Oryzias latipes: one gene and its partner. The protein of the gene in region 2 purifies or fractionates together with the protein of the main gene of each other region. This does not show direct contact. Links are inferred from orthologs where the notes say so. Each region holds a gene or a part of one and is shown on either strand. Other genes may lie near its edges.

What was found.
Region 1: the proteins of cdkal1 (region 2) and mms19 purify together in Homo sapiens (affinity purification with mass spectrometry; 4 studies listed by BioGRID and IntAct, counting the BioPlex papers as one, with this or other methods). This does not show direct contact. The link is inferred for Oryzias latipes from reciprocal best matches to the Homo sapiens genes CDKAL1 and MMS19.

Annotation. Positions count from the first base shown.
Region 1 is NC_019877.2:1,645,611-1,649,429, reverse strand, and holds part of mms19 (MMS19 nucleotide excision repair protein homolog), read left to right. Parts: intron 1-2; coding exon 3-72; intron 73-416; coding exon 417-545; intron 546-624; coding exon 625-686; intron 687-1,519; coding exon 1,520-1,606; intron 1,607-1,689; coding exon 1,690-1,764; intron 1,765-2,278; coding exon 2,279-2,356; intron 2,357-2,466; coding exon 2,467-2,605; intron 2,606-3,670; coding exon 3,671-3,819. UniProt on the Homo sapiens protein: Key component of the cytosolic iron-sulfur protein assembly (CIA) complex, a multiprotein complex that mediates the incorporation of iron-sulfur cluster into apoproteins specifically involved in DNA metabolism and genomic integrity.
Region 2 is NC_019874.2:11,063,043-11,066,861, reverse strand, and holds part of cdkal1 (threonylcarbamoyladenosine tRNA methylthiotransferase), read right to left. Parts: exon of another isoform or gene 3,787-3,819; intron 3,618-3,786; exon of another isoform or gene 3,594-3,617; intron 3,126-3,593; 5' UTR 3,120-3,125; coding exon 2,962-3,119; intron 1-2,961. UniProt on the Homo sapiens protein: Catalyzes the methylthiolation of N6-threonylcarbamoyladenosine (t(6)A), leading to the formation of 2-methylthio-N6-threonylcarbamoyladenosine (ms(2)t(6)A) at position 37 in tRNAs that read codons beginning with adenine.

The DNA of each region.
Region 1 (3,819 bases), on a different chromosome or scaffold from region 2:
AGTCGCTGATGCTTGCAGAGCGAGCGTGTGTCTACAACATGCTCACCAACCTGATGGAGACCAGGGAAGCCGGTAAGAGTCTTCCTCAAAGTGAAGGGGTTCTGTGCTGCCCGTCCCAGGAGATGCAGAGCCATCAGAAGCTTTATAAAGAGAGAGGCGCTTCTAGAGTAGAGGATCTAACCTGATCTAGAGGATCTAGCTGACATTTGTGAGACCGTGCTCTAGTGGTCACTTGGTGAACTGCGGGTCGCTCCAAACCAGTTTAGGCTTGTTTGATAAACTGAATTAATGATTTGATTATTTAAATTCTTTCTAATTTCTCCAATTGTCAATAACGTTTGTTTATAGTATCCATACAAATATCTGACACTCTATGCGTTTGGCGGTCTCTCACGTCCTCTCAATCCTCCATTCAGAGCTGAAGAGTTTGGGAGCCGACTTTGTCTTTGGTTTCGTCCAATCAATGGACGGCGAGAGAGACCCTCGCAACTTGCTGCTGGCCTTCAGGATCGCCAGAAACCTCATCGTCCAAGGATACGATCTGGGTGAGAAGACCTTCCTCCCCCCCCGTCTGTTGGTGATGTCACGGTTTCCTTCTCTCAACCTTCCTGTCTGCTGTCTCAGGTAAATTCGCAGAGGAGCTCTTTGAAGTGACTTCCTGCTATTTCCCCATCGACTTCACCCCGGTAAGTTCCTGTTGACGACGTCTGCAGACCGCCAGAGAAAACTGTTGCTCCTCCCCCCAAAAAACAAGTGTGATCTGGGCATTCGTGCTCCTCATTGGGGTCTCCATCCTCTCCTCTCTGGAGAAAAATCAGCTAAAGTAAAATATGTCGCTCTATTATCTTCAGGATCTGCTACATGTCCCTCTCTCTCCCTGTCTGTCCCTGCCACCCGAGAGCTGCACAAATTCATTAAAAAAACACGCTTTTGTCATAACGGTGCCTTTTATGTACGTTTGTCTCCATAGCAACCATTTCAATTTTTGGTCGTTTGAGGCCGACGGACAGATCAATGTCATTTTTAGAGGAATACATTTTTGGATTTCCTTAGCAACTGAGGTTTTTTGTCAACCCCGCCCACATTCCTAATATGTTCATATCTACAATGTCCTGGTAAAAAATGTGCGAGCAAAAGTTTAAGTCGCACTGCCCCCATCTGAAAATCGCCCAATTTTACACTTTGCCACCTTTTGCCATCCCATAATAATTTCAAAACTTACTTTAAATATCCCTGACATGTGTGTTTTGGTTTTGCCGGGTTTTTTTTGAGCCCCCGGAGATTGTGGGAGTGTCAGCAGCAGTGTCTGCAGCAGCGTCTGCAGGAGCGTCTGCAGCTGTGTCGGCAGCATCTGCAGCAGCGTCTGCAGCATCTGCAGCAGCGTCTGTGCAGATCTCTGACATGGTTCTCCAGGGTTCTGACATCTGAACTCTTTAGATCAGGACGCGATTCCAGGATAACTTTTCATCTAACCTGTCCTCCTATTCTTTTTCCAAAACCCCCTCCTGGTCCACTGCAGCCCCCCAACGACCCCCACGGCATCACCAAAGAGGAGCTGGTTCAGGCTCTGAGGGCCGTCCTCACCGGAACGCCAAAGTTTGCCGAGGTAACGACGGCGGGTCTGCTTCTTCTGACTCGATCCCCTGAGCAAACATTCTCCGGCAAACGTTTCTGTTCGGCTTCCCACAGTTTCTGTTCCCCCTCCTCATCGAGAAACTGGACTCAGAGGTTCAGAGCGCCAAGCTGGACGCGCTGCAGACTCTGGTGAGGAGACACGCCGTGACGCTGAAACAAGACACCAGTTTTCCTCCAGTCTCGTAAAGCAGCACAGTGCATAAACCCGTGCTTTTACTCTGAAAGGGTAAAGGGCGGGAAACCTTTTTCTGCAGAAAACGGACGTCTGAAGTGAATTTTTATTTCTTAATTTTATTTCACCTTTATTTACCGAAGAAATGTCCCATTGAGATCAAGAATCTCTTTTTCAAGGGAGTCCTGGCTAGAAGGAAACAATAAATTATATCTACAATAAAATGTAAACAATTAAAACAAAATAAATAAACACAAAAGCTGATTCAGCTCAGACATGCTGATGTTTAGATCTGCTGTCGCTGCAGTCGTTTGTTTTTTAGTTTTGGACAAAAGAGGAGATGGAAGAGTTCTGTGACGAAATAAAACACATTCTATTAGAAATCCTTTTCTAAACTATCTGTTATTTTGGGTCTTGGCTTAAAGAACCTGATCTTCCGGTGAACTCTCAGACGTTGCTTTCTTTCCGCAGAACGCATGTTTGTCGCGCTTCGAGCACAAGGACACGGCTGAGTTCCTTCAGGGCCTGTGGTCGTCGCTGCGTCGAGAGGTCGCCACGCTCACGGATTCAAACGTTTCCTTCCAAATTCAAAGCTTTTCGTGACGTGGCGTTGCTGCGACGCCTCCTGGCTGCCGCTCAGACCTCGCTCTTCTCTGCAGGTCTTTCAGACGTCCAGCGAGAAGATCGAGTCTGCAGCCCTCGCCGCCCTCGCCGCCCTCACTTCCTGCCTGTCTCGCTCGGTGCTCAGCTCCGAGTCGGAGGACGTCCTCGGACGCTTCCTGGAGGTCGTTCTGAGAGGTGAGCGGCGGTGAGATCGGCCCTCTGAGTTCAGGTGGATGCTAAGGGGAGTCGTGGTGGATGCTCCTGGTTTTTTTTAATAAAGCCAGGCAGGAAAAAAACTAAATTAAACAAGATAAACAGTATAGGGATATAAGGATATTTTTAAATGTAATAAGGAGAAAAACATGTCATGTAATTAGCAGGTGTTACAGAAATTCTCTTAAGGCTTTTATCGTAAAGCTAATGGTAAAAAATACATTCAGGTTGAGCAAAAACTACAAACAACTTATTATGTTTTTAAATTAAAACATTAATCGTGTAAAAATACTTCTGCAGACACAAACCTTTGCTCTCAAACACAAAGGCTTCTGTAACCATGGTAACAGTGTGTGTGTGTGTGTGGGGGGGGGGGGGGTGTGAGGGTGTGTGTGCGTGTGTGTGTGTGGGGGGGGGGGGAAACCTGTTTGAACACAGGCTGCTGAGAAACACATGTTGACTTTCAGTATAACAAATCTAAAAGCACAGAGCTGAACCGGTTCTCTAAACAAACCAGAAGGGGTCCAAAAAGACCCGCTCGGTTCTGTTTCCTCCGGATGAAACCGAATGTTGAGCTCAGAGAAACGGCTGAATGTTCAACACAACGGTTTGTCCTTTGGAACGAACCAACAGAATAGATGTGATCTAAAACTGTTTCTACAGCAGAAAAAGGTTTTTCCAAAGTTAATGCAGAAATTGAATTTACCTGAGTTCTTTATTTATAAAAATGACGTCAAACTGTGCTGACGTCTTGTGGCGAGGCCTCATTCCGGCGCCGTGGGCCTCGCCTGCGGAACTTCCTGAACTTTCTAACATTTTTTGTTTTAGCTTTGATTTGAAGTAAATTTGACACTTTCTAAAGTTTCTGTTAACTTTTAGATTTCTGGTTGATTTCATGGACCGTCTCTTTTTTGTTTGTTAGATCTGCGTTTGTGGCGGACTATTTAGTTATTTATTTGAGGTGTTGTCAGACCTTTATAAATAAAGTTTTATTTGAACTTTTTTTGTTCGATTCTTTTATGACTAAAGTTTAATTTCTGCCTCCAGACTGTGAGCATCACCTCCGTGAGCCGGACCTGAAGCTGGTGTGGCCCGCCGCCAAGCTGCTCCAGGCCTGCTGCGGCGCCTCCTACAGGGCGAGCCGCGTCATAACGGCCGCCGTCCTGCCCTCCCTGACGGAGCAGTACAACGGCAAA
Region 2 (3,819 bases):
AAGATACCTGGGGGGTATTCCAGGAAGCATGTTTGAACTACCCTGACTTTAACCCTGAACTCTGGCTGAAATCCGCCTGAACTTGCTTACTCTGGGTGTGTCAGTTCCAAAAGACCAGATATGAGTTGGCGTAATTACGCTCGACTTGGTAACCCTGGGTTAATGCGGGTGCACGTCAAGTACATAAAAACCTTCTCAATGGAACGCCAATTTCTGGAGTCACCATGGAAACGCGTGGTGAAAAAAAGAGAGCGCTATATTTCAGTGAGACTGAGTCTGAGATTAATGACGGCTATGAAGATTATACGTCCATCAAAAAAGTAAAACGGCTGCATCCGAAGAAGAAAGAGTTTTGCTTGTAGTAGAAGAACAGACAAAGTAAACGCACGAGTTTCTGATCTTATTTCCATTTTCCTTGTGAAGCATATATTTAAAACGTATCCAATTTTGCCAACTTAAATGAATTACTTGGTACTATTGGTAACAAGTAATTGAGTTAAATTTATTCAACCTACTTTCTTAGGTCTATAAAACTTAATTAGTGTTTATTCAACTCAAATTTACAGATTTATTTAACTAAATGTCATATTACTCCAATTCAATTATTATTGTTTCCACCTTAAGGAATAATAATTCTTGAACTCTCAAATGTCTAAGTTTGAGCCGGCAGATATGCTCATTTTTATAACAATAAAAAGAACAGAACGATACACATTTGGAGAGTAAATCCATTTAAGAATTCATCGACATTGTCATTACATCATTTGGCTGTAGGGGTGCTATATAAACTCATCATCCTCTCCCTCCCTCTTACTCATGGTGCAGAGACTTGAGCAAAGTGGGACAAAGTAACTCGGCAAAACACAGTAAAACAGCTAAACAACTAAACACATTTGGTCAAAAACCCACACTTAAACCCAAATCCGTCCAGAGAGGCAAAGGGAATGGTATCCCACAATCCCTTGCGGTGCCGATCTAACAGCAGCACCAAAGTTACACCTACTTAATTGAATTAATTTGAATGAAAGTAAAATAACTGTCTGAAAACAAATTGTTATTTTTAAACTGACTTAACAAAAAAATGATTTTTAATTATCTTAACTGAAGCAAATAATTAAGTTAGATCAACATAGTTTATTTTTCCAACATCCATATGTGGTCTTATCACCCTCTCACAGTGGAAAAAGTATTATCTGAGCTTCTTCATCAAATCAAATCAAATCAAATCAACCTTTATTTATATAGCACTTTTTCAACAACATATGTCACTCAAAGTGCTGTGCATAAAAAACAATAAAATTTGAAAACAAGATGACAAGACAAACCGTGCGACAACCCCCACCCCGCAAAAACACACACACACACACACCCACACACATCAAAAAATAAATAAATAAATAAAAAAGTGATAAAATGATAGAATGTAGAGACCAAGCTTTGTCCTGAAGTGGGGAAACGATATTTTGGGGACATGTCCACATCAGCGACCCCCCAACCCAAGTTCACGGAGAACACTACCACAGAACCCCCCAGATCCGATCAAAAGAGTCAGACCCAGGAGATCCCACTGCAGCAGTTCACTGAGAAGGGTCAGTCACCGATGTGGAGGATCCCTCAGAGGGAAACACTGGAGTGTAATAAAATGTAAAAGGAATAAAATTTAAGTATATATAAAACATGGACAAAAAACAAATAATTACATAAACCTTAATAGGCATATGAAATAGTAAGAGCAACTTAAAAATTAATAGAATACATAAATAAATGTATTTACATACACATATAAAACTAGTTAAAAGAAAAAAATAAATAAAAAATAAATAAATAAATCCTAAAATTTAACTAAAAGCTAAATTAAAAAGGTAGGTCTTAAGCCTTCCTTTAAAAACATGAACTGTCTCTGCAGCCCTGAGGCTCTCTGGGAGGCTGTTCCACAGGCGAGGTCCGTAAAAACTGAATGAGGCCTCGCCGTACGTTTTTGTTCTAACTTTTGGGATAACCAAAAGGCCTGTATCAGAGGACCTCAGGGTCCGCGAGGGCTCATACTTTAAAATCATGTCAGATAAATATGAAGGCCCGAGACCATAAAAACATTTGTAAACCAATAAAAGAACTTTAAAATCAATTCTGAATTGCACAGGGAGCCAATGCAGCGATCTTAAAACCGGTGCAATGTGTCCCCGCCCCCCGGTCCTCGTCAGAACGCGTGCTGCTGAATTTGGCAGCAGTTGAAGATTTGCTATTCTTGTTCTGGGAAGACCAGAGAGCAGAGCATTACAATAATCTAATCTGCTGGTAATAAAAGCATGCATTAGCACCTCTGTGCTGGCAAGAGAGAGAAATGGGCGGACTCTGGCTATATTTTTTAGATGATAAAATCCTGTTTTTGTGATATTTTTAATTTGTGGGATAAAATTCATCGCAGAGGCAAAAATGACACCCAGGTTTCTCACACACTGAGAAGTTTTGTAATTCTTTAGTTTAGATAAAACTATCTCTCTCTTGTCCTTAGAACCGATCACTAAAACCTCTGTTTTGTCCTGGTTTAGCTGTAGGAAGTTCTCTGCCATCCATGACTCAATGTCTAAAATGCATTTTAAGAGTGTGTTGACCGACTCTTCATCATCATCCACTAAATCATCTTCAAATGGACACGCCAAGCTTCTTCACCTCTCTGAAAACCAACTAACCTTCAACTAAACCTGCTCCAGACCAGGTTATGTTCAGAGCATGAGTTGCCATGGCAACTTGACATACCCTGAAACATACCTCCATTTCAGACATGGCCGTTCACGAACACTAAAGTCTAGAGACAAACACCACAGGGCCCATGTTTAACATAAACGTACGCACTATTTTTAATGAATACTTGAAGTCCTTCAGTCTACATGTACAATCTTTAGAAACTGTCAGTTTCAAACTCAGATCAGATGAAGTCAGATGAAGCATATTCTGGCGTACCTGTCAGCTTGGAGCTCTTCGTCGTTTAGAAGCTCTTTCTTCTTCTTGGGCCTTGGTATGATGTTCTTTCTCGCAGACTGTCTTTCATGGGGGGTGGGGTCCGTGGAAGACACCATGTCCTCAATATCTTCAATCACGGGGTCGCAGGCGGAAGGCATGATGATCTGAAAGATCACAGTTCGACTCTATAAAGAACGACTCAGAATCCACAGAGATAACTTAGCTCTGTTAAAAGCAATCATTCAAAGAATTTTATCTGAAATTAGCACGTGCATTTATGATTAAGAGTAATTATATTTGAATGATTTACATCTACATGTACAAGTATGAATATACATTTTCTAATCAGTTCATGAACAACCATCCTAAGTTAGATATGCCTATGTGAAGATATATACACATACATTTCTGTGGTCTATCTTCTTAATTCTATTTTTGTTTTGGTTGCTTAAAGTAACCGATTCCAAATATAAAACATATAACAAATATTTAGAATACACAAGAAACACAAAACAATTCTTTAGTCATCCCGTCAACGTAGTCTAAATTAACTTACTATAAGCCAAACTGAAAAAGACAACAGGTAAACACGATTTGGCTCTAAAAAAAAAATTAAAAAAAACTATTCCAACCTTCTTATGTGATATTTGTGCAAGTCAGTAACGGCACTACCCTTGCTTGAGTAACTTAGAATGCAATTCCTGTGTCAAAACACGGATAACTGTAGTACAATTTTATAGGACAACCGTTAGCATTAGCCAGCTTGCCCACGTGCCTTACCAGTTGTAAAACACAAGAGTTGTATCTACTATTTGTGTAAATTACCTGAATCGTAATGTGGTTATATTGTCCAATGAA